Linked DNA regions of Callithrix jacchus. The protein of the gene in region 1 purifies or fractionates together with the protein of each later gene. This does not show direct contact. Links are inferred from orthologs where the notes say so. Each region holds a gene or a part of one and is shown in the gene's direction. Other genes may lie near its edges. The genes, in order: GTF2H4 and MNAT1.

Region 1 (3,912 bases):
GCTACTCAGGAGGCTGAGGCAGGAGAATAGCTTGAACCCTGGAGGCCGAGGTTGCATTGAGCCCAGATTGTGCCACTGCATTCCAGCCTGGGCAACAGAGTGAGAGACTCCTTTTCAGAGAGAGAGAGAGAGAGTGAGAGAAAGATGGGGGTCTCACCCTGTCGCCTAGGCTGGCGCAATCATAGCTCACTGTAGCCTCCAGCTCCTAGTCTCAGGTGATCCTCCCGCCTCAGCCTCCCGAGTAGCTGAGTAGTCATGACTCTGAGCCACCTCACCAGGCTGCAGGCCAATTCTTAATCTTGCCAGGCTCCGGTCTTCCAGTCTATAAAGTGGGAATAATGGAATTTGCTTATAGAAATTTGGGGAAATGTGTAGTTCTGGCTTTGGGTGAAGACCTCTGTCTTTCTCTGTAGCAGGTTCATAAATCAAATCAGAGCAAACAGCTGATGTCTTAAAAACTGTATTTATCAGGGTCTTCTAAGAAAACGGTTTTAGGCATGGTAGAGGCAGAAATTAAGAATTATTGAGTATTTAGGGCCAAGTAAGGCGCACTGGATGGTGTTGTTAACTTGTGGAAACCGTCCAGAATGTGTATACTTTCTTCTCTTTCTCTTTCTTTCTTTCTTTCTTTTTCTTTCTTTCTCTTTCTTTCTTTCTTTCTTTTCTTTCTTTCTTTCTTCTTTTTTTTTGACTTTAGCTTTTGTCGCCCAGACTGGAGTGTAATGGCACGATTTCGGCTCACTGCAACCTCCGCCTCTAAGGTTCAAGCGATTCTCCTGCCTCAGCTTCCTGAGTAGCTGGGATTAAAGGCGCCCGCCACCACACCCGGCTAATTTTTGTATTTTTAGTAAAGACAGACTTTCACAATGTTGTAAAGGCTGGTCTCGAACTCCTGACCTCGGGTGATTTGCCTGTCTCGGCCTCCCAAAGTGCTGGGATTACAGGCGTGAGTCACCGCGCCCGTCCCGGAGTGTGTATTATCTCAATTTTACGGGGAGTAATTGTGCTCACGGAATCCAGTTTTGTGGCCCCTACCCCCTAAACGGCTCACCACTAAGTCGCCATGGCGCGCCTCCGCCAAGAAGCCCTCCAGGAACTTCTATTTTCCCCGGACCCGCCTCCTGTTCAGGCCGGTTAGACGCGCCGTTAGCAGCGTGGGCGGAGTTGCTTCTGCCTTCGCGGAACCAACTGGCCTGACTTCTGGTATCTCCCGCTCTCTAAATTAAAAGCCAGCTCCTCTCCTTTTGGCTTCCCAACGGTGCCTTTCGGGATTTGTAGTCAGACGCGCTTCAGCCGGCTCCAAGGAGAGCAAAGACAAGACTCCAATTCCCAGCATACCCCGCGCCGGGAGAGTGCAGCGCCTATTCTCATCCTCTTCACTCTTCCACTCCTTCCCTTACCTCCCTTCTCTTCTGAATTCTCCATTCTAGGCTCTTGTCTGTGAAATCTTTTGTCGCTTTCCCCATCTTTCCCTGGCATTTTTTTTTTTAACCATCTTTCCCTCAATCTCCGGGAGCCAATGAGAGACTTTGGCTCCGATTAAGCGACTGCCCGAGACTCGGGGTGCACGAGGAGGATGGACAGAGTGGTGAGGGGACCTAGGAGGGTGGGAGTGGCATAGCTGTGAGAGAGAGAGAGGTGAGTGAGAGGCGAGGTGTGGGAGGAAGGCAGGGAGAATCTAGGAGATCGGAAGGCGTGGGTCAGCGTGAATGGGAAGGGAAAAGAGGTGACTTCAGATTTGGGAAGCGTGAAGGGGAGAGGTTATCGTCATAGCAGAAGTGGGCTAAGAGATAGACGATAGGGAGGACGGGCAGATTTGGAGCTTATTGACTGATCTGGACCAGGAGAGATGGAAGAGAGAGGTGTGGGCTCAATTTTCTTTGTCCCTGTTTAGCCAAAGATGAGACAAGTCATTGAATACAAAATTATCTTGCAAACATAGGACAGTTAGCAAGTCTGTCACTTGGTAATTGAGGGAAGACTGGAGTTGAAGGGCAGAAGTAGGGTGAGGAGACCAGAAACGGAGAGAGATTGGTCAGATTTGGAAGAAACTAGAGATAAGTGACAGGGGAAAGTAAGCCACAGAAAAGGTGGGATTATTGTGGGGGCTCATGGATCTGGAATCAGAGTTAGAAAGGTCAGGGGTGACACTGGCATGGATGGTGGGGGTGTGCCTCTGACGTTTGCATTCCTCAGGTGATGGAGAGCACCCCTTCAAGGGGACTGAACCGAGTACACCTACAATGCAGGAATTTACAAGAATTCTTAGGGGGCCTGAGCCCTGGGGTATTGGACCGATTGTATGGGCACCCTGCCACTTGTCTGGCTGTCTTCAGGTGAGGAGCCCCATGGCAAGGAAATGTAATGGGGTCTGCAGATTGGAAATAAATATCATGAGTAAAAGCATAGCAGTCTGGATTGGGGGTGGGGACTGGGGGTGAGGGTTGAAAATTGCTCCAAAGTGTGGAAGGCCAAAATAGCAGGACTGGTAAAGCTGTGGTGGAGTGAGATGAGATGTTTGAGAGGTAATTGAGGGCAGAGATGCAGATACAGTGCAGCTTCTGAAATTAACCTTTGACCTCTATCCCTATACAGGGAGCTCCCATCCTTGGCTAAGAACTGGGTGATGCGGATGCTCTTTCTGGAGCAGCCTTTGCCACAAGCTGCTGTAGCCCTGTGGGTGAAGAAGGAATTCAGCAAGTAAGTCTCAGCCAGATACAGATTTCTCAACAGCAACATTTCCCAAACTGCTGTTTCTTGGAGCACTTCCAGGAAATATTAATAGATCACAAAATTTAAAAATAAATACATTTAGGAAATGCTGCATACTGCGTTTTCCCTTTTATTTATTTCCCAGCTGACTTCTTGTTTTCAAATGTATCTTCCCTCTTAGTTATGTGTGTTATCAGCAATGAGGCTCTGATAGGTAATGCAGTAAAGGCATTTGTCTTAAGATACTGATTTCACTCTGTGAAACAGTAGTTCAAAGATCAGCAAGTTCAGAACAGGCAGGAATGGTAACTTTTATGGGCCTTCTCTTTGTTCTCCAGACACCCCCTCTCATCTCTTTGCTTCTATTCCAGGGCTCAGGAGGAAAGTACAGGGCTGCTGAGTGGCCTCCGGATCTGGCACACCCAGCTGCTCCCAGGCGGGCTCCAGGGCCTTATCCTCAACCCCATTTTCCGTCAGAACCTCCGCATTGCCCTTCTGGGTGGGTATGTCACTTCTATCTCTTCCTAAGCTAGGGAAGGGAAACTGCTGCTAATTAAACTGCTATTAAACTTTGGGAGGGGGAGCTTATGGGGGCCTCCCTGGAACCTTGTGGTCTCTACCTTGGGGAGCTCCTTTAGGAATAAGTTGGACCAGATGTAGCTGTGTTGTGTAGGCAATGTCCCCCAGTCATGGCCCCTGAGGATAAGGGTGGAAAGATGGCAGAAGGACAGCAAGGAACACAGACAGAGTTCCTTACTCTTTTTTTGTTTTGTTTTGTTTCTTTTTGAGATAGAGTCTTGCTCTGTCACCCAGGCTGGAGTGCAGTGTCACAATCTTGGCTCACTGCAATCTCCACCTTCTGGGTTCAAGATATTCTCCTGCCTCAGCCTCCTGAGTAGCTGGGATTACAGGCACCCACCACCATGCCTGGCTAATTTTTTGTATTTTTAGTAGAGATGGGGCTTCACCATGTTGGCCAGGCTGGTCTCGAACTCCTGACCTCAGTGATCTGCCTCCTCGGCCTCCCAAAGTACATGGATTACAGGTGTGAGCCACCGTGCCTGGTCAGAGGTCCTTACTCTTGGCCCATCCTGGCTCTAGGGGGAAGGCCTGGTCTGATGACACAAGTCAGCTGGGACCAGACAAGCATGCCCGGGATGTTCCCTCCCTTGACAAGTACGCTGAAGAGCGATGGGAGGT
Region 2 (3,912 bases), on another chromosome or scaffold:
GTATTGGCTAAAAATTTTATTTGCACATATAACATATTCATTCTATCACTAGAAGTTTCCTGTTCTGTTAAAATATAAAGTCCCTAGAGTTGCCTTTGTTCTTGAAGAGCTTCACTCTGAATCATGTAACTGATTTGGATGTCGTCTTTCAATAAGACAATAGCAGCAGCGTCATAAGCCTCCAGGTCAAGCATAGTAGCATAGTATTTGGTGTTACCTATTTTAGTAAATTTATGTTTGGTTAATTCCTGTTGAGGAATGAAACTATGACCAAAGAGATGATATAGTTTATTAGATGAATCCCTGATGTCTTCATACTAATGTAAAGCTCTGTCACAGCCTGCTTTGGTCTGCTGGTTCCTGGGTGTGGTATCCAGCTGTTTGTCAGCTTCTCCCTCCATATTCCATGGAAATCCCAACTGTATTTTTGGGTTTTGGGTTGCCTACTGAGTTCACTGTTTAAAAACGTGAGTTGGAATGTTCCTTTTATGTTTTTATTGAAAAGAACCCAAGTTCTATGATGAATTAAAATTACTTAAATGTTTATAGCTCATATTCATTGTATCAGATTATTTGAAAAATCTTGTCTGCATGTTCCCCTTCTGATGGAGTTTGGGTCAGACGAAGGTGGTTACAAAAAATGTTTGACACTAAAAATGTTCACATTACACTATTGTTTGATAGTCATTCACTAATTCTTCATTTAGTCTACTTGTACATTAAGTATCAACAAATCTTTATTTTGGAGATGAATAAGATGTGTCCTTTGCAGTGGGAAAGTTCATTATTTAATAGAGCTGTTCACAGACTTCAATTGGCCTTCTTGATAAATGTGATGAACATGGTTTACAATTTACAAAGATATTCAGGCTCTCAGATCTTGGAATTGCTGAACTAAATTTTTGTGTATGTATTCTTATATTATTTTTTTCCTAGGTATTCAGGGAAATAAACACTGTCTAATGGAGAAGCTAGGTTTTTCAAATTTTGTATCTGTGAATGCATATTATTAGCTGAGCTTACATGACTATGAATTATAAAGAAGTATAAAGCACAGGCTATCAAATGGTCCAAAAGAAAATACTGAATTATCAAGTATTTACATCGCTTATAAATCTTTGAAATCATGGAAATGTTTTCAGGCAGAACAAGATGGAATTTATCTTCTTAATTGTTACACAGTACCTTGAAGAATGCAAATTGGTGCGTAGAGATAAGGCTTGGTGTATAATTTGCCATTTTAAAAGTTTCCCTTTCAAGTTCAAGGTATTAAGCTTCTTTATGGAAGGCTGAGACCAAGCCCTAGCTGCAAGACCAGGGAACTGACTGCCGGAACGTTTGTGTTGCAGCGCCTTGCCCCTTGCCGGTGCTCTTTCGTGAAGGGACCATCTCTGCCAAGCGCCTGTTGGTAGAAACTTGCTTGGTCGAATCTGTGGGGGCTTGTAGGTGGCTGTGGCTGAAGCAGGCGCCAAGGAGAGTCGGTAGCAGGGAAAGCGCCATGGACGATCAGGGCTGCCCTCGGTGTAAGACCACCAAATATCGGAACCCCTCCTTGAAGCTGATGGTGAATGTGTGCGGACACACTCTGTGAGTTGGGCGGCAGTGGATTCCCTGGGGGAGAGACGCGTAGGATAGGAGAGGGCCTGGAGATGCTAGGCCTCGTCTGGGTGGGAGCAAAGGGTGTTGTTAGTTTCAACACTGTGGAAGAAAATGGAAAAAGGAGGGGTTGTGACTTGAAATGGACTGTAGCCTCTATCCCCGAGCCGCTCTGGCCTGCTTTGAACTGAGGGTTCTCGGTGTGGCACCCAGCAGTTTGTCAGGTTCTCCCTCCGTAGCCAATGAGTATCCCGACTGTATTCCCAGGCTTTGTTTTGTCTACTGGGCTCCAAACATCGCTGATTAAAAGTGTGGGGGATTGGAGTGTTTATTTCATATGAAATGTTTTTATTGAAAAAGTGCGAAAGTGCCACGAAAACTTAAAATTTGCTTGAGTAGATACTGCTGCTATTTATTGTATGAGTTAATTAAAAAACTCTGTATGTATATCCACTTGTCCTGATGGAGTTCGGTTAGACTCTCATCACTAAAATGAAGAAAACCCGGACTCCAGGCAGTTAATTATGAAGATATAACAATGGCTGGCATTTGAGTGCACATTTTGTGCTAGGCAATGTTCTAAGCGTCTTACCATGCATTATCTCGCTTCATTCCTACAACAATCCCATGAAGTAGGTACTGGTATTTCCATTTCACAGGGAAGGAAATCAAGACTGCTCAAGGTCCTTTATTAAGTGGGCCTTAAGAGAATTGGAACCAGGAAGTCTGACTAGAAAGCCCATTTTCAGGGGAAGGGGGTAGAAGGAGGGAGGTTGAGTTTGTGTGTTTTGAAATAAGGATTGGTCAAAGTGTTTCTTGCCAGATTTCTTGTCCAATGCGGTTTAGTGAAGGTGGTTGTAGAAACCAATTTGGGATAAAAGGTGCCATATAGTGGTGAGCACATATTCCTGTAGTTTCTCTGAGGTTTATTGGAAGTAAGAAATAATGGATAATCTACAGTGTGGTAGACAAGGTCTCCCCCCAAACCCCAAGTGCTGACAAAAATGTAGAGCAATTACAGGGTCTTTAGGTAAGCATAAATTGCATAATTAGCTGTAGTTATAATTATTATATGGGATTTATTAGCTTACTTAATTGATTCCCTTTTCTAATTCATCTTTAGTTTCCTTGTTTTACTCTGCAAAGGAAGTATAGTAGAGCTGTGATTGAATGGTTTAAGATTAGAAGTAAGGTAAAAGTAATCCAGAATGCATAGAAAAGGGAATTCTGGCTGGGCGCGGTGGCTCACGCCTGTAATCCCAGCACTTTGGGAGGCTGAGGCGGGTGGATCATGAGGTCAAGAGATGGAGACCATCCTGGTCAACATGGTGAAACCCCGTCTCTACTAAAAATACAAAAAATTAGCTGGGCACGGTGGTGTGTGCCAGTAATCCCAGCTACTCAGGAGGCTGAGGCAGAATTTCCTGAACCCAGGAGGCGGAGGTTGCAGTGAGCCGAGATTGCACCATTGCACTCCAGCCTGGGGAACAAGAGTGAAACTCCGTCTCAAAAAAAAAAAAAAAAAAAGGGAATTCTACATGGAAAACACTGTAGATAGACTGTTTTGAGAGAGATTTCCTTCAAATTCTCTCCATTTTTCTTTATCAGGTTTGTTACAGTGGAACAAGAAAGGGAGTTTGTTTTTTTGGGAAGGATACTAAATGTAATTTACCAGAAGGAGGCTAAATGTAATGTTCTGGCCTAGCAGAAATTAGCCAGTCAGGGAAGAGCATACGATTTCAGTAACATAAATGGCATTTTAATTAGGCAATTATAAAATATTTATTTTAATTGAAATTGCTTTTGTTGTATAGTCAGCCCTTTTTGTTAAGGTCTAACAGTTAAGACTTTTATTGATTCTGGTGTTGAATTTAATCTGGTTAATTTGCTAACCTGTTAGATACAGGCCACATTTTACGGTCCTTTTTTGACTTGAAATGTTAACAAAATGAGTAAAAGGCTGTCGCATGTTGGCTAAGAGAACAAGCTTTGGAATCAGTCTATCTGATTTCACATTCTTCCCTCTTACGGGCTCTGTGGCCTTAGGCAAATGACTAACTCTTTTTTGGTCATTCTTCTTGTCTGTACAGTAGAGAAAATAGCGCTGCCTGTATCATGGTCCTTAAGTATTAAGTAATATATGTAAAATATTTAGAAATATTTAGTAGAGTTTCTGTCACGTATTTGTTTATTGTATATTGGCTATTTTATTGTTAATATTATTTGTGTGTGGCATGGGTGATAGCAGAAATAAAATTAAAACAGGTCTTATTTGGCCTGCTATGAAAGATTTGCGCAATAATGAGTAAATGATTT

Evidence for each region.
Region 2: the proteins of GTF2H4 (region 1) and MNAT1 purify together in Homo sapiens (co-immunoprecipitation; 3 studies listed by BioGRID and IntAct, with this or other methods). This does not show direct contact. The link is inferred for Callithrix jacchus from reciprocal best matches to the Homo sapiens genes GTF2H4 and MNAT1.

What each region holds. Positions count from the first base shown.
Region 1 is NC_133505.1:35,702,006-35,705,917, forward strand, and holds the start of GTF2H4 (general transcription factor IIH subunit 4), read left to right. Parts: upstream 1-1,386; 5' UTR 1,387-1,576; coding exon 1,577-1,588; exon of another isoform or gene 1,589-1,726; intron 1,727-2,196; coding exon 2,197-2,336; intron 2,337-2,595; coding exon 2,596-2,700; intron 2,701-3,083; coding exon 3,084-3,215; intron 3,216-3,813; coding exon 3,814-3,910; intron 3,911-3,912. UniProt on the Homo sapiens protein: Component of the general transcription and DNA repair factor IIH (TFIIH) core complex, which is involved in general and transcription-coupled nucleotide excision repair (NER) of damaged DNA and, when complexed to CAK, in RNA transcription by RNA polymerase II.
Region 2 is NC_133509.1:95,467,666-95,471,577, forward strand, and holds the start of MNAT1 (CDK-activating kinase assembly factor MAT1), read left to right. Parts: upstream 1-1,404; 5' UTR 1,405-1,498; coding exon 1,499-1,587; intron 1,588-3,912.